3 linked regions of the Stegostoma tigrinum genome follow. The protein of the gene in region 1 purifies or fractionates together with the protein of each later gene. This does not show direct contact. Links are inferred from orthologs where the notes say so. Each region holds a gene or a part of one and is shown in the gene's direction. Other genes may lie near its edges. The genes, in order: bcl7a, arid1b and pbrm1.

The links.
Region 2: the proteins of bcl7a (region 1) and arid1b purify together in Homo sapiens (affinity purification with mass spectrometry; 4 studies listed by BioGRID and IntAct, counting the BioPlex papers as one, with this or other methods). This does not show direct contact. The link is inferred for Stegostoma tigrinum from reciprocal best matches to the Homo sapiens genes BCL7A and ARID1B.
Region 3: the proteins of bcl7a (region 1) and pbrm1 purify together in Homo sapiens (affinity purification with mass spectrometry; 3 studies listed by BioGRID and IntAct, counting the BioPlex papers as one, with this or other methods). This does not show direct contact. The link is inferred for Stegostoma tigrinum from reciprocal best matches to the Homo sapiens genes BCL7A and PBRM1.

Annotation. Positions count from the first base shown.
Region 1 is NC_081379.1:25,482,326-25,486,079, forward strand, and holds the start of bcl7a (B-cell CLL/lymphoma 7 protein family member A), read left to right. Parts: upstream 1-1,307; 5' UTR 1,308-1,398; coding exon 1,399-1,490; intron 1,491-3,754.
Region 2 is NC_081362.1:36,512,991-36,516,744, reverse strand, and holds the start of arid1b (AT-rich interactive domain-containing protein 1B), read left to right. Parts: upstream 1-764; 5' UTR 765-1,080; coding exon 1,081-2,376; intron 2,377-3,754. UniProt on the Homo sapiens protein: Involved in transcriptional activation and repression of select genes by chromatin remodeling (alteration of DNA-nucleosome topology).
Region 3 is NC_081364.1:19,751,996-19,755,749, forward strand, and holds the start of pbrm1 (protein polybromo-1), read left to right. Parts: upstream 1-1,188; 5' UTR 1,189-1,305; intron 1,306-3,754. Other genes in the region: gnl3 (guanine nucleotide-binding protein-like 3), read right to left, coding at 883-941, 1,055-1,067. UniProt on the Homo sapiens protein: Involved in transcriptional activation and repression of select genes by chromatin remodeling (alteration of DNA-nucleosome topology). Required for the stability of the SWI/SNF chromatin remodeling complex SWI/SNF-B (PBAF).

The DNA of each region.
Region 1 (3,754 bases):
ATCACTGGGACATGTCATCACCTCTCATGCTTATGTGTGGCCATTAACTAATCTTGTACCATACTTACATCATACTCAGTTTTTCTCGATTCATTGCAGGTAAAACTAAATATACCCCTGGACTGATGTCTCAATAGCATTGCTATTGACCTACTTGCCATCCCTAAACTACTTGACTGTCACCTGCAGGACTGACTGTGACCAACTCTGTAACTGGAATAAGATTGCCATGGCATTAACCCCTGACCAACCATAATCTTCCCATGCCCTACTAAGTGCATTTCCCCATTGACTTTCTCACTGTCATTTGCTCAACGCACATGCAGTATATTTGTCTCATAAGCTGCTGATGCACGTTGCTCTGACATTGGATGGTGCCATCATTACATGCCCACTTCTTGTTTGACTGATACATTGAATATCCAGTGCTCCTCAAAATGACAAGCTGTCTACCACTCCTTCTGGCAATCTATAAGTCAGCAGTCAAGAGCTCGTGCTGTAAGAAAGCAATGCTATCTAGAGAGGATGGATGTCTCCAGATAAGTTCTAAGGTCAATCAGCGGTAGAACACAAGCTAAGAGCCATAAGATGCATGTGTTCCAGCATGCATGCAAAGCAACCGGCAGAAACATACAAGTTCTTTTGCTCCAAATTAGAGGGTTGAAGGTGTGAACTGACTGGTGAATTGCTCTGAGACCGGCATGATGTGCTAAGGCTGGTGGTTTTCCAATGCCGATATACATGGATAAAGTGTCAAGAAGGAAACGGGCCAAGGAGCACACAGGGACTTTGTGCAGAAACAGCAGTGGCAGGGTGGCCAGGGCAGACATTGGACATGCTCAGTCACCAAGTACCTGCTCTGTTTAGAATCGAGCTTTTGTGCCGTTTGGTTTCTCGCTGGTTTTGAAGAGAATTAGGATTGTTGTTTAAATAGGGAGCGTTGGTGTATTACAGATGTGAAAGTGCATGGAAATAAGCTAGCCGCCATCCAAGGCCGAGGATCTTAAGTCGCCATTTAAGGCTTGAACGAAAACATATTCCAGTTTTTCTCGGCATGAAGGGTCCGATGTAGGTTTTCTTTCTGGACTGGTTTATTCAACGTGCGGACCTATCGACGCGCGTGGTTCTACGGTCATGAAACACGTGGCTGAATGGAGGCAGGGCGGGAAAAGCGGGGGAATGAGATCTCGCGATAGGTGCTGCCTTTGTTCACGCGGCTCTCCTTCCAATGTGTACGCGCGCGCGCGCGCGGGGGCGGACGTTTGCGCAGGCGCAGGCAGGGCGGCTCGAGCAGCAGCAGCAGTAGCGGCGGCCCTGGTTTGGGGGGGAGGGGGCGGGTAGAGAGAGGTTGTTTCGCTTGCTTTGTGCTGGCGGCGCTCGGCCTTTCCACAATTCACTATGTCCGGCAGGTCGGTGCGGGCCGAGACCAGGAGCAGGGCCAAGGATGACATCAAAAGGGTTATGGCAGCTATCGAAAAAGTACGGAAATGGTAAGGGGTCTTTTTAAAAACAAAACCGACAACACAACGGGGATATGATTTTAAAAGGTCGGCGTTTCCCTCTCGGTCGTTGAAGAGAGGAGGAGGAGGAGGTGGTAGGGGAAGGAGATCACTTGGGTCGGAGCGGAATCCAGGTTTTGTAGGAGGGGAATTCCGTCGCCGGTGAGCGGACAGCCGGATAGGGATTGCCTTTTCAGGTTTATTTTAAAATTAAAAAAAAATCACTTCAAAGCCGACCCACATCGATAGGAATGAGGGCTGAACCCAGAATCCATTTCGCTGCAGTCACATGAAGCCTGTGCCATTGCTTTGTGTCGGTGCCGGCTGCAGACTGCGAGACGACCGCGTCCTTTGTCGGCTCTGCTTCGGCGCGGCGCTTCCCCGTACGCTCCACAGCCCTCTTTCATTTTTATTGTTGATGAAGGTTTTTAAATTTAGCGCTTTGGATCGCACTTTAGTACAGGGCGAGGCCAGGAAGGGAGGAGGAAGTAGCCAACCTCAACTGGGTCACTATCAACCGAGTGTAAAATTAAATATCTAGTAGTGCGCGTATTTTCTCGCTATTATATTTATCTAGTATTTTTAGACGACAAAATTTCTGTTGCGTGATCGGGCAATGCATGAGTTTGCGCTAATTGGAAAGCATAAATATTTAGCCACGAATAAAAAGTCTTTTCGTGAATAACTGTTTTGTCTTGCATATTCTTTTTAGTTCATTTTGAGTGAAGTTAGATTTTGGCAGAGGTAACAATTTACATGTATCCACTTCGCAATCAGCTGTTGAGAGCACACAATAACTCCGCGTCCTGTTGTTTTCAGTTACTTGTAAACATTGTAACTAGAATCCACGTGCTCTATTCATATTGCTGCTATCTTGGTTGTCCTAACGTGACCTCTTACCCAGATTTAATTTGTGTTGCTGCTTAGAATCACAATTTGTAAATCCCTCTCTTGACGTTGAGGCATGACGTAGAGAGCGTTGTAGGTGATTTGAATTCTGTTATTAACTTTTTAAATTGCGAATATGTTTAGCATTTATTTTGAGAAAAGGAACAGTAAGGAAAACATTTAAATTTATATGCAACTTTCACAACCTCAGGATGTTTTGACATAATTTTGGAGGCAAAGGTGTACTTTTGAAGTTTATTATTGTACACTAAATTCTCTTTACCTGAGGGGATACATGGACTTCTCATGGGTAACAGAACTTGGATACTGCTATGTAACACTCCCATGTACAATGAAAGACCTTGTGATCAAATGAGTCAATGATATTTAAAGAAGGCTCTAGGCCCAACCTTTACAAGTATGTGAATCTGTGGGTAGAGAATGAGCAGGTAATGAAGTGAAATTAATGTAAGCTGGTAGCAATTTGCATAGAAAGTGTCTACAGTATAATGTTTTAAGGACATTGAGGCATAAACTTTACCAATTACTTCCGGGGTAATTCTGTCTTTTGGAATGCAGGCTGGATCATTGAATTTAATTAAGGCAGAGTTGGATGTTATAGTGGACACAGAAGAGTACAGTTGAGATTATAAACCAGGTCTTAGTAATGCTGGAGCAGACTTAAACAAAACCCAAATGGCCAGCTTCAAACTTCATGCTCCGATGAAACTATTTTGAAAGCAGACATGTCAATTTAGTGTGTAATTTGAAGCAACACTTTCTAAGATGCAGTTCATCTTCACTGTTGTGCAAGAGCTTCTTGTCTAGTCTGTGCCCAAGGTATCTGGAAGTGGGTTTTAACCTTCTGACAGACGGGAGTGCTATCACTTGAATTAAGTTCTATGACTGCTTTAAATAAACAAAACTTCTATTTATAAAGGATCTTATTTGTAATAAAACATCCTATCTTGCTTCATAAGCATGTTATTGAATACAATTCTACAACTAACCATTGAAGGATGTAATGCCTTAGAGGAGAGAAATTTGAGAGATTGCCATCACCTAGTTTATTTATTCGTCATTAATTTAAACTGAATTTTGTTTCCTTCCAGATTTCTTCCCTTCAAGATTTTACTTGAGCTACTCAGCAATATTTTGTAATTATTCTTATGTGAAACCAGAAAGTGTGGTGATGGGCTAATCACAGAAGAAAGGAATCGTTGCCAAGTTTGATTCCATCCTACATAATGTCTTTCCAATGCTGAAAACAGGATGTATTGCTAAATAACAATCAGGAATAGGAACTTTTTCCTGCTGCCATCTGAATTGGAGCAGAGGAACCAGGAATGTACTTTCTGCGACTGCAA
Region 2 (3,754 bases), on another chromosome or scaffold:
CAGCAGGCCAAGCAGCATCAGAGGAGCAGGAAGGCTGACGTTTCGAGCCTAGACCCTTCTTCAGCAATAAGAAGGGTCTAGGCCTGAAACGTCAGTCTTCCTGCTGGGCCTGCTGTGTTCATCCAGCTCTACACCTTGTTATCTCAGATTCTCCAGCATCTGCAGCTCTTACTATCTCATCTTACTAATGTTAATTGTGATAAGTATTGAGAAAATGTAATAAATCTATTAAATTGTTTTCAAAATGAAATGGGATATGCAGAGATAACAAAGTGTGAGGCTAGATGAACACAGCAGGCCAAGCAGCATCTCAGGAGCACAAAAGCTGACGTTTTTGGGATATGCAGAGAATCGACAACTACCATATCATCTTATGAAGACTGATGCTTTTTAAAATGGGAAACAAAGTTTGAATTAGTTGATAACGAGCATTTTGTTTGGTGGGTCAATTTTATAACACATTAAGGTAAGATACAATTAATACAAACTATGTTTACAGATTACAATAAATGGCAACTTAAGAGAATCATAGGTTTAAATTAATGTTGTTATTCATCAAATAGAAATGATTGCCAATAGTTTATGGTAAGTTATACATATTAACAGGTTAGGAAATTAGAATTCATGTTTTTAAACAACATAGAAAGTAAAACAATTATAAACGTCACTGCATTTAGATTGTGCAGTATGGGAGAGATACAGGTTCCAGCCCGTGTTTTCGAGTTGATATGCAGTAATCAGAGGAATGGATAATAGTTGTTGGAGTCCTCATGCCATGCTGGGCCAGAGGCTCAGCTAGACATGTAGTTACCCATATCCGGGTTAGAGAGGAAAGGAAAGTTTGATTTTTAAAACAGATCTGGAGAAAGTTTTCTACCTATTTAACAAAAATAGAAAATAGAATTTAATTTATTATTATAATCACCATGCAACAGAAGAGAATGTGAGCCTATTTTTCTTTTGCTTTCAAACTGGAGGAGGACAAGTTTTTTTTCTTTTTTAATAATATTTAATGATCGGGTGTAAAAGGAAGCAGACGTGTCTGTGTCTTTCCCTGCTCTCCGACTGATTTTCTGAGAGATGATCATGGCTGCTCAAGTAGCAGCAGCTCCGGCCAACAGTAGCAACAACGGTGGTAGCCCCGGCCTGAGCGGCCCCGACCCAAACAGCGTCAACAACGGAAAACCGGCGGCTCCGGTAGGAGGACTCGGCGGTGACGGCGGAGATCCCAGTGGCGGCGGCTTGAACCTAAACAGCGTTGATCATCATCACCATCCTCGCCACCACCACCAGCACCACCTTCCCCACCAGCAGCACCACGGCGAGCTCACCATGGCCAACTCCTCGGGGCCTGGCCCCAGTCCGGCCAACAACGGCGGAGGCAGCGGCGCTGCTGGAGGCTCGGGGTCGGCCTCGTCCAACCCGAACCCAGAGCCAACGCACAAAGAACCCGCCTCAGCCTCGCCTTCCTCGGCGTCCACCGCCTCCTCCTCATCTTCGGCCGCCAGTGAGGCGGGGATAATTCCCAATCACAAACTGAAACCCACCGGCGCTGAATTGTTGCTTCCTCCCCATCATCAAGGAGAAGGAGGCGGCGGGGCAGAGACTCAACATGGAGGCGGTGGTGGGAAAGACAACATCTTGTTAAGCGCTGACAACCAGGGCAACAATAATAAGGCCGACGACCAATTGCTCAAAATGGGCGATCAGAGATATGAGCACCCGGCAGGCTCCAATATTCAAGCAGAGCCGGCGCCTGGCCTCCACGATTATAATTATTATTACCGGGCGGCGGCGGCAGGAACAGGCCCCGGTCCAGGACCCTACTTCGATCAACATGGCGGACAACAAAGCCCGGGGCTTGGGCTTCATCCTTCCAGCAGCTTGGAGCTGAGCGCCAGCCCGCTACACAATTCTCACGACGGCTACTCCAACAACTACAACCACTACTCGGGGTACAGGCCGGCTTACAGCAGCCCTGGTTACGGCATAATGAACTCTCCCAGGGCCAACAATATGGGATCCAGTGGGGCCACCAACAGCGGCCACCATCAAGGCAAGCAGCAGCCGCCTCTGGCCGGGGCATTTCAGCGCTACTCAGGCCAAAACCAGCATTCGGGGGCCACGCCAACTCTCAACCAGCTACTGACCTCCCCCAGCCCCATGAGGGGATATGGCTTTCCGGACTACAGTAATCCCGGCCCTTCGCAGACCTCGTTCAAAGGGAACGACATAGGCAGTCAATACGGAGTAGGCAGCAGCCAACCCTGGGGAGGCGGAGGCGGAGGTGGTGGTGGTGGCGGCGGAGCAGGACAAGCCCGCAGCCACACGGCCATGAGCCCTGGCAGCTCGGCGCAGCCTCTGGGCAGGACACAGGTAAAGCGGCCTGTGTTGTCGGTGTCTTTCTCCCTGAAGGGAGAATGGAGCTGGCGTTGTGCGATGTGAAGATATTTAGAGAGAAAGTCGTGCAACTGCTGGTCAGGGACCTAGGCCGCGCTACGTTTCATATGACTTCTTACTGGCAAGGAGAGAGTTTTAGCGACTCTTTTTCTTGGGATACGCCGTATGCAGAGAGTTTGTGCTTTCTACCCCTAGCGATGGGTGTCCGCTGTGCGGATTTATGCACTGAACTGATAACTTCCAGTTAGGTTACTTCTAGATTAAATAAATCAGTTAAGTTTCCTTTTGTTAATTTAAACTGCTATTCGGTATGTTTTTGACCCCACCCATTTCAGTTACTTTTACCCTCCAGGCTGCTCGGGTTGATTTTTGTTTCATGGTGTATGAAAACTGGTAGGTCCATTCAGCTCGTATTCGAATCTCTTCACCTTCATTTGCAAGGTTTGCAATTTGAATTATGGAGGTAAAACGCCTGGAATCGAGTCTCTAGACAGCTGCCTCCGAGTTGACATCTAATCTGCCATCTGATTGGTTCTCACACTCACCACTGGGCATTTATCAGTGCTGATGTAAATACAAGTTCCTGAACGTCGCAATCGTAAGCCCACATTGCACGTTTCCTAAGAATCCGCACAATTTACAGAGCGCATGGATCATTAAGAGAAATCAACACCGCTTCAACTTTCATTCCCTTCGACATTCCAGTTGCACTTAAATATCAAAATTTCCATTTTTAAAATGTGTTTGATTCGATAAACCATCTTTGGCAGTGAAACACTTGTTTAGTAACAAGCGGTTGACATATTAAAATATTCTGGAATAACCAGCTTATGCATATTTACTAAAATCAGCCATTAATTATAAGCGTTGGTAACTTTAATGAAACAGCAATAGATATTCCGTACACTTCAGAACCTGTTCTGTGTAATCAAGGGATAAGCTTGTTGGATGAATTGAGAAGTAATTTAGAACAGTATTATTTTAAAATATCTATTAAGTGAAATCTATACAAATGAGTATTATGGTTAGTTCATTCAAAGAAAATTAACTGCTTTGTAAGTATTGCCCAGGAAGTACTGCATATAGAGCAATTTACTATTGTAAAATACCATAATTGTTATTGCTTTTGATTCCACACCAATTGTAGCAATATTAAAAACTAGAACTTTAACTTTGTGAACTATATTTCCTTTTTTTCTAATTAAATTGAAATCTCTTTGTCTGATTGCTCATGGTAAATGCTTCAGTATAACTATACAGACCCATAAGTTCAATTCCGTGCCAATGGTATGGTGGTAGTTGTAGTCGGGTTGTTAAATGATGGCATGGCGGTTCTTGTGTAACAGAATAGTGT
Region 3 (3,754 bases), on another chromosome or scaffold:
TCCAATCTAATAAATATAAAATTTATCAAAGGCTAAATTAAAAAGATTGACACACATCCAAGGTTTATGGAGTCAGTCAAATTGTGAGACTGAGACCCCAAAATTATCAGCCATTGTTCCAAACGGAGAAATAGCCTCGAAGGGCCAAATGACCCAGTACTATGTTTCTTTGTCACGTTATTAAAAATGGTCAAATCTGGGTGGTTTTCTTCAAAAAGGCTCTATAGATTGTAAATTGCAAATTTCTTGAAATATCAATGAGGTATAACTGCACACTAATTCAAGCAGTGAATTACAAAAAGTATATAGAATAAACACTAAAATTACAACAGAAACATGTCTGTTGACATTTAGTTGACAAGGACCATAAGTCATGCTCACATATGTCCACTCTATTCTTGTTTATCTCTCTTCCGTCAGCTTAACATAATGAAAAGATTTCCAAAACTCCATCTTAAATCCGTATCCTGAACTTCTCAATCATTACAAAATGCATTTCATCTGCTCTTTGTTAATAATCTAATCATCCAATACTCCTGCCCAATCATTTAAAAATGTGAATAGGCTGCAGTAAACTTTTTCTAAATAGCGTGATGTACAAAAATTGCAAGGTGCTCGAACTGCATACTAAGAGTTTATACCAAATTGTACTTGACTATGTGTTACGCAGTTTGCCTTAAAGCCACGTGCTCGTACAAGTACTAACTTAGGTGATTGTGAAGGGGCTTGGCGCAGTTCAGGTTGGCTATAAAAGTACTTGCTCTTTCTTTAGCCAGTTTCAATACATTACGATCCGGTTATTATATCTCACAAGCTTTCCCAGAGCGAACAATGTACCCAATATTGGGGCGTCCACAACTCGTGGATTCCACCCCGGCTCACCTTTCGCTGGATCTTAAATCGCTTGTGGCATGTCAGGCGCTTGCTCGCCTTTTTCAGCTCTGTAAGGAAACGCAACAATGAGGGCAATGAATCGAAACAATACTAACTCCTGCGGATAAAAAAAAGAATGTAACGAACAGTAAAGACTACAATTCCACGCCACACAACTCACTCGGCCGCTTCATACCGTCCGGCTGCAAAAAGAGCAATCCACGTGACAAAGTCCCAAACGTCCCATCGCCTGCCGTAAACACACAGTGAGAGAGCACGTCAATGTCGTCAATACTCTATCCCCGACCCGCTTTACGGCTGAGCCGCTGATGCTGACGATAGGGGCATAGTTGGGTATAGGAGGAGACTGTGGATCTCTTGTTGTTATTATTATTATTTTATCATATATTCTTTCGGGATCAGCCGAGTAGGGTAAGGACGGCTTCGGTTGCTGAGTTGTACTGAGATGAGTGATGTGTGGAAGTTGTGCCTGCAGTCTTTTTCCAGTTTGTTTTTGCGTGGCTGCCAAGGTGTTTGTGAGGCTCAGGCCGCTGCTTCTTTTGTTGTCAGTCAGCTCCCGGGAGTCAAGATTTCAACCGCGCGATGGCTTGTGTCCACCTCTCAGTTCATTCCACCTTTCATTCAGCGCCTAAATGAGCTGTTTTTGTTTCTGCCCATATTGAAAGGAAGCAGATATTTTAACTTTTACGTTTAAGCCTATTTTTCGCCCTGTTCCAAAGGTATGAATGAAATGTACCCTGCCTACATCATCCAGACATCGTTGCTGGATATTCAGTGATTGAACGTACATTTAAGATGTCAAGACAATGAACTAGTATTGTTGTCAGTGGGTTTATTTTAAATTGAAATGGAGCTGCGTACAATCGGGGAATAAAATCTGCCGGTAATCCTAGGAATAGAACACTTCCTGATTAGGGGAACATGCCACATTTTTATGGTTGTTGTCATAACAACATTTTAAGCATATTTACATTTCTAAGATGGCACTTCAGTTTTTAAAAAAGTTGTCCAATTAAACCAAATTTTCCACATAGTCACAGTTTACTAAGATCCACTGGGCAAAAACGTTAGGCCAGAATTTGCTGAGAAAGTAACAGTGAATTCACTGTAAGTTATGAATTTGTAAGTAGCGCAGCTATTCATGGCAACTTTGAGATAACCTGATGTGTTGCATGTTATTACAAAATTTGCTTTGCGAAAGCAGGAGCTGGCAGCCAGCTGACCTGTGACTTTTAAGAAATTATTCTATTTGCTCTGTTAAAATGAATTTTGACTTGTTATAGAAAAGCAGGACTAGTACTAAATGGTGTAAGAACTGTTTTAATTACAAGATTCATGTTTCCACAAAGTCACCTCATCTCTAACTTTAAAAGGAAATAATTAAGACAGATGGATCTCCTCTACAGATTATAAATTGTGTTGTTTAACTTTTCCTTTTTGACTCTCTTCCACTTAAGCTTACATTTCTCTCTTCCTTTTTTTACACACTTCTGACCCATTCTATTTCTCCAAACATTGCTTTTCTTTTTATTTTTAATTCTTATCTCATTAGTTTGTGAGATAGACTGTTCATCCTGTCATTGACGCAGTTAGTCTGCTATCTTTACGGTGAGTCCATCAAATTGTCAGTACTGAAATAACTTCTTCAACAAATGTGAATGATTGACATTTATTTTGACATATCAGTATGTTATCCACTTCGATATTATCAAAATTAATTTTGAATTCAGGCAATAAACACGATGCTGCTTCCATCTATAAATTACTATCTTCCTAAGAAACTTCTTTGCAAAAAAACTCCAGAGATTTTTATGCACTGAGGCGCCCTGCATTTGAATCTATGGAAAGATTATCCGTTTCTTCAAGATGTGCACCATTATTTGACTATTTAAATTACGAGATAATTACGTCTGTAAGCTCTGGTGATACCCTGTTAAAAATGCCGGCACAATTATTTTGTTCTCTGTTCTAAAAAATGTTAATTTGTCCTCTTTGAATTTCACTGACTTAATAGTTTGGAAAGTACTGTTAACCATGTTGTCTCAATGATTAGAATCATTCAGTCCACAAAAGGCCCTTCAGCCCATCAAGTTGACCGATTCCAACTCATTACACCTGATTCTCATGCTATATGTTAACTTTAGTACAGTATCTGCTGGTAAAAACTTTAAATATGAGGCTGCCTAATATAAATCAAAACATTTGGCTACCCCTGCCAGCCAACAGAAAGTAAAGAAAAACACCTGCATGAAGGGTTTGTTACAGGCATAGAACATTGATTTGACAGCTGCAAAACCAGTACATAAGTGGAAAGAAGTGTGCTAGTGCAGTATTTTTTTGTCTGCAGTTTATGACTGGGAGGAGGTAGGATAGAGGTGATATCAGGAGTGTTGCATTCTGATGAAGAGTCACTGAACCAAAAATATTGACTCTGCTTTCACTCCACAGATGCTGTCAGATCTGCTGCATTTCTCCAGCAATTTCTATTTTTGTTTCAGATGTTGGGAGTGCATAGACATCCCTAGCTTATCATAGAAAAATTTTAGAAAGACAAGAGAAAGGCTTTTTTTGGACAAAACTAGGACATTCAGCAGAACAAATCTTTGCGTAATAGCATGTAAACTTTCTTTGAGTGTGGCCAACCAATATAAGATATGATTTAGGATATTGTTGTCTAATTTTCCTTTTACTGTCCCTGAAAAAAAACTCCTATGGTTAAGCAGTGTATTTGTTTAGCCAATTTAATACTTAGAATCAGACAAAGTCACATGAATTGGAACAATTTCATGAATGAGACTATACTGTAAAGGTATCTGCCTTGCTACAGCTGTGTTACTTTCCCATGTGCTGTTTCTGTTCC